Linked DNA regions of Diceros bicornis minor. The protein of the gene in region 1 purifies or fractionates together with the protein of each later gene. This does not show direct contact. Links are inferred from orthologs where the notes say so. Each region holds a gene or a part of one and is shown on either strand. Other genes may lie near its edges.

Evidence for each region. Proteins that work in one complex are often made in the same cells at the same time.
Region 2: the proteins of RBBP7 (region 1) and BRMS1L purify together in Homo sapiens (affinity purification with mass spectrometry; 4 studies listed by BioGRID and IntAct, counting the BioPlex papers as one, with this or other methods). This does not show direct contact. The link is inferred for Diceros bicornis minor from reciprocal best matches to the Homo sapiens genes RBBP7 and BRMS1L.

The regions. Positions count from the first base shown.
Region 1 is NC_080781.1:13,856,382-13,860,130, forward strand, and holds the start of RBBP7 (histone-binding protein RBBP7), read right to left. Parts: upstream 2,404-3,749; 5' UTR 2,389-2,403; coding exon 2,241-2,388; intron 1,957-2,240; coding exon 1,812-1,956; intron 1-1,811. UniProt on the Homo sapiens protein: Core histone-binding subunit that may target chromatin remodeling factors, histone acetyltransferases and histone deacetylases to their histone substrates in a manner that is regulated by nucleosomal DNA.
Region 2 is NC_080744.1:13,663,436-13,667,184, forward strand, and holds the start of BRMS1L (breast cancer metastasis-suppressor 1-like protein), read right to left. Parts: upstream 2,426-3,749; 5' UTR 2,348-2,425; coding exon 2,206-2,347; intron 1-2,205. UniProt on the Homo sapiens protein: Involved in the histone deacetylase (HDAC1)-dependent transcriptional repression activity. When overexpressed in lung cancer cell line that lacks p53/TP53 expression, inhibits cell growth.

The DNA.
Region 1 (3,749 bases):
CGTCCCACAACCAGATCCCACTTCTTCATACGCAAAGAACACCATGGCATACATAATTTAGTTAAAGTATTTTCTGTTAAGTTTCTAAGCGTTAACATAAAAGCAATATCTGGGCTGAGAACATATAGCTCTATTATCTTTAAAATCTTTATGCAAAACACATTATAGGTAACATTTTAAAAAGACTTCAGTAAGCAGCTTTCATTGAAATCCAAATGGAAAAACACAGTTATTCCATCCTATCTAACAAATTATTTCTGAACAAAAGGGGTGTAAAAATCAGCATCAGTCACCACTTACTGTGTACTTACTCTGCACCAGCACTTTCACATGCACGATCTTATTTAATTCCCTCAAATGCAAGCAGTCAGTACCATCAGCACCTCAATTTACATACCAGACAACTCCGTCTGATAGAGACTGACCAGCTTGCTCGAATTCACAAAGCTACTAAGAAGCAAGGGGCAGAATTCAAACTCAGGTCTCTAACCTTAAAGCCCCCGCTCTTTTCTACTGTTACAGTAGGTCAGAAACATCCAAGAGAATGTAAATTAAGTTGTTAAAGTTTTAAATCTGCTTAACAGGAAAACACAAAGAGTAAAATGCACAAGATGCTCTAAACCAGAACCTGGATACCCTTAAGTATTCGATGCTCAAAGTTGTTTTATCAACGCTTAGACCTCTCCATTATTTAGTTCTTGGCTACTCTTCCCACATCTGTGTATTTATGTTGAGATTTTTGGGAACCCCAAGGGAAGCCCCTATCTGTATGGAAGTCAATGACGGCATATGGAGAATGTGGCTGTTATATGAGTAATTTTATATAAACTAACTCTTATTTTTATAACGTCGCAAAATCCCCTTTCTAGATTAGAGTTTGATTAATCTTCATTAAATTATATGCTCACAATACCCAAATTTAATACACTTGTAAAGTACATAGCCAAATTCCTACTAGAAAAAGTGCAAGTATATAAGAAAGGTAACCTAGTGCAGGGGATACCTCGACTCTGGGGCCATCCGGTTTGGGTTCAAAAACCTGATCTACCACTTACCAGCTGTGTAATCTTGGACATGTTACTTAACATCTCAGTCCCAATGTCCACATCAGTAAAACAAGGATGATAAAAAGTAATCCTAGTGCTGTTGTATTAAACCCAATAACAGCATGTAGAACTTTTCAGGTGTGCCAGGCCCCGTTCTAAGTGCTCAAATGTTAGCAATTACTACCAGAGACGTTTTAGAAATAGCTGAAAAGAACACTCGTATGAAGACCAACAGCAATCTCAAACTGTATTTCATACTATAAGCCAATAACAACACCTTTTCTTTGGTGAGCTGTTGCTAAATTCTTTTCCCCTTTGCCAATTAAAACATACTCATCTTGGGGGCTGGTTACATGGGTTCATGGTTACATAGTTCACCGTAAAAATTCATCAAGCCATAGGCTTATGATTTGTGCACTTTTCTGTACATATGCTATTTTTCAATAAAATTTTAAAGAAATCCATTAGTCTGAAGCCCAAAGAGACACCGCTCTATATTTAAACCCAAGAAATGTCAAACATATCCAGCGCTTCCTACAAATACAATTAATCTCACAGCAGATTCTTTCTCCCCTTTTAACGCCACACTTATACGTCAGAAATCATCCCATAAACCACTTAAATTTTGAAAATAAAAATCACCTGCCACCTCATCCAAGGGCTAAATTGATTACATTTTTCTGTTCTATGTATAAAATGCCAAAATTAGGAAATTCAGGACAAGAGTTAAATTCGTGCAAAATAAAAGTTGCCAGACACTCTTACTTAGTCACTTCAGGAAGCCACTGAACGGTAAGACTCGGCCACTGCAGAGCATGTGTCATAACCAGGTCATACAGAAACGGTGTATTCTTCTTCCAGATTTTATATTCTTCATTGATGACACGCTCCTCCACAGTATCTTCAAACACTGAAATTTGGAGAAAGCCCATACGATTAAGCGGCTGAGAGGGATCAAAATCAGAATCGATACACAGATACTGGAGATCACCTCGAGACGGCCACACCTAATCTACTCTTTGCCTTTAACCTCTAATTTGGACGCGAACAACTGCTCTTCCAGAATGTGGAGAGAATATTAACACCAGAAAGCTTATTTTTTGCAGTTTGAGATCAATACCGCCTGCGTATTCAGAACGGAGTAATTAATTACACGGACACGGAAACTGTCTTGCTGGTTACTGCTGTTCGCACCTGTTCTAAGATGACGACCCGTATGTAGAGGAGCTCCACGACCCGCCCCGGGAGACGAATCCACGTGTAGCAAAACCCCATCGGCCCGCTCCCTCCAACCCCCACCAGGAGAGGCCTCCGCTCCCACGAAACCGGTGTCGGCAGCCATAGGCCGGCGGGTTCCAGAATCCCCCGGACAAGGGCCGCGACCCCGAGGCGGTCGACGCGCGCGCGTGGAAGAAGCCGCCGTGCCCGCTTTCCGGCGGCGGAGACCGCCTCCACCCGGGACCGAGGGCGCGGGAGGGAGCGCCGCCGCCGGGAGGGGGGGTCCGAGGGGAGAGAGGGAAGGGGGCCCACCCCGCGGCCCCGCGCCCGGCTCCGGAAGTGCTCAAAGCCCTCAGCGCCGCGGCCCCGTCCCGCGTAGGCCCTCGAGGCGCGCGCCCAGCCTCGCGCCCGGCCCCGCCCCCTGCTCCTCACGCCAATTCGCGCCTTTCGCCGGCGCGTGCCGCGGCCTCGCGCGCCCGCCGCCCCCCGCGGCCCCGGCGTGCGCCGCCCCGCAGGGCCTCTTACTCTCTTTACTCGCCATCTTGCGTCGGGTCGTTCGCCCCTCGCCGCCGCCTCAGACTCCCCTCGCTAGCCAAGAGCAGCCCAACCGCAGGCGCTCCTGCCTTTCCCAGGCGCGTCACACACTTCTAGCTCTCGAAGCGTGAGCTCCGGCTCACAGCCTGGGTGCTCCCCAGACGCCGCGTCCTTCTCTCCTGCCTCCTCCCCGCTCGCGGGTACCGAGGTCTGAGGCGCTCTTCTCTCTCTCTCTCCAAACTTGGAACGAGACTTTTCAACCCGCGCCTCTCAGCCCGCCCAGGCAGCTGAGCGCAGGCGCATCCGCCCTGGGAAAAGCGAGAGGCGGTGGAGAGGCGGACCTGGGAGCCAACGGCTTCATCGCCTCGACCAATGACGTGCGGCAAGCAGGTTTCACGCGGCGTTCGGAGGCGGGCTTCTGGGGGTGCGCAGGGCGTTCCGCGGCAGGAAGTTGGCGAGGCGCAGGCGCGAGGGCTCGCCCGGCGCTCCCAGGGCCGGCCGCGGGGGCGGATGGGGGTGCGCTGGGGGTGGGGCGAATGGAGGCGCGGCGTGCGGGCTGCACGGGGGCTGCGAGCCTCGCGGAGGCGAGCCCCGGGGCCGTGGGGCGTGGCTGCTTGCAGCGGCCGTGGCGGTGGGGGTGGGAGGGGGGCAGGGAGGCTGCCTCCGCTTAGCCAAGCAAAATCTCAGAGCCAGAAAGGAAAATGGTTTCTAGTCTGGAGAGATTACTGTGCCCGCAAAGTCTACCCAATAATCACGAGCATGCAATTCTGTGCACCTTGAAAGGTCTTCCACCAGCCGACTGGCCTTTCGTGGGGCTCGGTCGAGCCGAGGTGGGGTTTGTCGGAGGCAAAGGGGACTTTTTGCAGAGGCCGCGGGCGTTTTCTGACTGCAGAAGCCGCCGGGCCTCCCTGTTAGGCTAAACCTGCGGCCTGTGCTGGCACAGGCCGCCAA
Region 2 (3,749 bases), on another chromosome or scaffold:
TATTTTCATATAGCAAGGAAGTATATGACTCATTTTTTTAACTTTTCTAAAACAGATTAAAATTATTTCTGGCTCTTAATAGCCTACACCTTGGCTATTTAAAATCTGGTCTCTCAAGATGACTCACTCCCCAATATCTCTGGATAGTAGAGTGTTTTCTGTAGCCTTAGGACCTGCTTAGTACGAAAGTTTGAGAAGAATAAAACTGCAGAAGTTTAACGTGCAAGATATATGGTAGAAAAGAGACGCTTTTACAAGAAACAAAACTGCAAAACTTATTTAAATAATTTCTTTGCACTTAAAAAATCTGACTTGTAGTTCAAATTATTATTACATTCTTCACAGATTAAGTTGTCCATTATTTTCTGGGATGGAATAAAAACCAATGAAAAAATCAAAACAGTCAACATAAAAATTAGAGAGGGAGAATTTTAACACATAGGTGTCATTTTGTAGGATCCTAGCTCCCACCAAAAAAACAAAGAACACTTGATGATAAAATGTTTTACAAATCTAGGAAATGTATTCACATACAATCTAGATGTCCTTTTTCAGTATTCCTCACTTTTGAAATCTCACCTACTTTCATAACTAGGCAGATGACTTCAGATTATGCTTCCCATCCCAGGCAGGCTCCAATGCCACATTTCCATCTGTCAGCTGGGCGCTCTGACTTAAATATACCACTATCACCTCAAAAGCGACATGTCTGAAATATTCTATCTTCCACCTTCATCTCAAATCTTTTACTTTTCTACTTCTCTTCATGCTACCACCAATTCTCCTTGTATCTGGGTTTTTCCTCTTACCTTCATTCCTCAACTTGCATTCATCAATCCTGTTTTATGCTTTTTCGAAATCTTTCACATCTATACCTTCCTTTTCTAGCTCAAACCCTTCTCCCAACCAAACTGGTTTTCTGACTCTTTTGAATAAGCCTTAAGCTCTGACCTTTCCACTTTTTCTTACATTCCTCCCCCTATGGAAACACCTGACCATTACCACCCCAATCTAAATTCTACCCATTCTTCAAGATAATTAAGGTAATCCCACCTTCTTCAACTAGCCTTTGCTGACCACCCTATTCTGAAAAGATTTCCTCTGCCTCTGAATTCCTACAGCATTGTTTATAGTTAAGCATTCATTTGACAATTTAATCAAGTGGTGACTTATGACAGCTCTTTAATTGAGATCAGATCATAACTATTTATTTATACCTCACACTGAGTAGCGCCCAGTCCTGCACAAGGAAGTCACTCATAAATACTTATTTTTGGATGGCTAATATACTAACTGAAATTACATACTTCCATGGAGATTTGCTTTAAAAGGGAAACCTGAAAAGAGAGCGTTGGGGCGATAACAAACTGTCATTAACTTGTCATCAGTCCTTGCTTTACATGGCCAAAATCAGGCCAAGAAAGAAATGTCTCATCCTCATCACTGGCATAGAAGGAAAAGAATCTTAATCACAAATTCCATTTATTTTCTTAATAGCCATTCCTAAAAGTTTGCAAAACTGATTTGTGGCGTTATCTGCCTCCCACTCCCATAAGCATAGGAATACTCAAAATCACCCCTGATGCTGGGCTCTTCTTAGTCCTGAAAAGTTCAGAGAGATGCCGTAAACCGGACAGCTCCCAAGTCAGCCCCCGCAGGAGCACCGCTGTGAAGCGCTGACTGACAGGCTGACTTCGATGCTGAGGTTACGAAGTTCTAAGCCAGCCAAGAGCAGGTACACATCTACCGTCGGGCCGGACAACACACCCGTGTTGAGAAGTAAGGGTTGTAAAGGTGAAAAATAAGGAAAGAAGTCGGTGGTCTGGGAAAGGAGGCATTTCCAGGGTCTCCCAGACAAGCTGCGGGGCATCCCCCGCGTCGGTCGCTAGCCCCGAGCACTGCCCGGAGGCCCCAAGGGCGGGTCCGACGGCGAGCAGGACGGCGCAGCGTCCCGGGGCTGGGCGAGCCCAGGCCCGCGCTCCGCCCCGCCCCGCCCCGCCCCGCCCCGCCGCCGGGGACCCGCCCGCAGCCAGGCAGCGCCCCGCGACCGGTCCCGGCGCCGCCGAGGGCCGGGAGCCAGTCTCCGCCCCTTCCCTCTCTCCCCGCCCCGCTCTCCCAGCAGGACGCAGCTGCCCGGCGTGCGGAGAGCGGCCTGTCGCGCGCCGGGCGCGAGGGCTCGGGTCCCAGCCCCGCTGGGTCGCGCACCTGAGCTGTCTCCATCCTCGGAGACCGACGAGCTCTCCGTGTCCTCGTCCTCCGAGCTGCTCCCCTCGTTTTCGGCGTAGTCCACCTCCATCTCATCGTGATGGTTCGTCTCCTTCTTATCCCCTCGGGAGTGGACTGGCATTTTCCAGCCGCGCCGCCGCTTCCCACTCCCGGCGCCCAGCCCGGCCACCGCCGCTTCAATGAAGGGCGCGCCGGACGCCCCGACCCACCCAGCGGCCGAGCTCGGTCTGAACCCCCTCGACTCCTCCCCGCCCCCGGCCCGAGCCTCACAACCTAACCCGCAGGCTCTGGGCTGGGAGCTCTGCCATTGGTGGAAGCCGTCCTCCGAGCCGGGGGGCGGAGCTTGCCCTGCTCGGATACGGTTGGTTGCCCGTAATTACAGCGCGGCCTTGCGGTGGGTGTCGGGAGTTGTAGTCCTTACTGCTCAGACCTGCAGGGGCTGCCTGTTTCCAAGCCTCAACAACCCTGATCACTTCTTCCCTCTGGACTTCAAGTCCCACAAGGCACAAAAGCTGACAGATTTGATCGCACTTTATAAACTAAACAGAAACAGATTGTGCGATTTTGGTCTGTATTTATTCTTTTCCCGCCAAGTGATTGTCTGAGCTCCCTGGCTCTCCAAGATGTTACTGTCAGAGGTGAAAAGTTTTCTTGCGTGAGGATTTTTCCTCCTCTTTGAGCCTGGGGGAACTGGAGAAACGTCTCTTCTACCTAACCACCTTTATTACTACTAATAAACTATTATATTGAACTGCAGACGATAAGTGGCACTTTCTATGCTGCACAAAAATCTTTAAATTGTTCTTGAAACTTTTGCAATTGATAATATAGAAAGGATGGAAGTTTTATCTTGGCATTTTCATTTAGTATTTTTTGCATTTATTTTTTACCACATGCAACCTAAAGATGCTACCAGTCTTGATTAACTTCAGTTATCAATGAAAACACATATTTGACTTAATGAAATGTTATATTTTCTCAATGATAGGGATGACAGACAATGAAGATTCAATAACTATCATAAACATAATAACTCATATTAATTGACCACTTTTACTTTGTATCAGGTACCCTGGTAAGCTCCTTACATAGGTTATATTGAGTTTAATTCTCAATTTAATAACCCTGAGGTAGGTGCTATTATTATCCCCATTTTACAGATGAGGAAACTTCATTTGCAGACAAATCTAAAAACTGTATTTTATCCATTATAAAGACAGGGCTTCTTCTTGAAGTGGCAATTTGCTACTGAAAGATATTTCATAGAATATTGTGAATTGTACAGCATTTCTTTCTCAAACACAAGGTCCAAAGACATTTGATGGAGGATGGTAAGGGTATCCAGCCATAACTGCATTAAAGTTAGATTTAGAATTTAATGATGGAAAGCATTTCAAGGGCTATGCATCTTCTACAGGGTAAAATCCAAAGTAAGGGGCTTGTGTTATCTAGCGTCAGCCTACTTCTCCTCACACAAACTATTTCCCATTTCAATGTCTTTGCACATCCTATTCTCTCTGCAA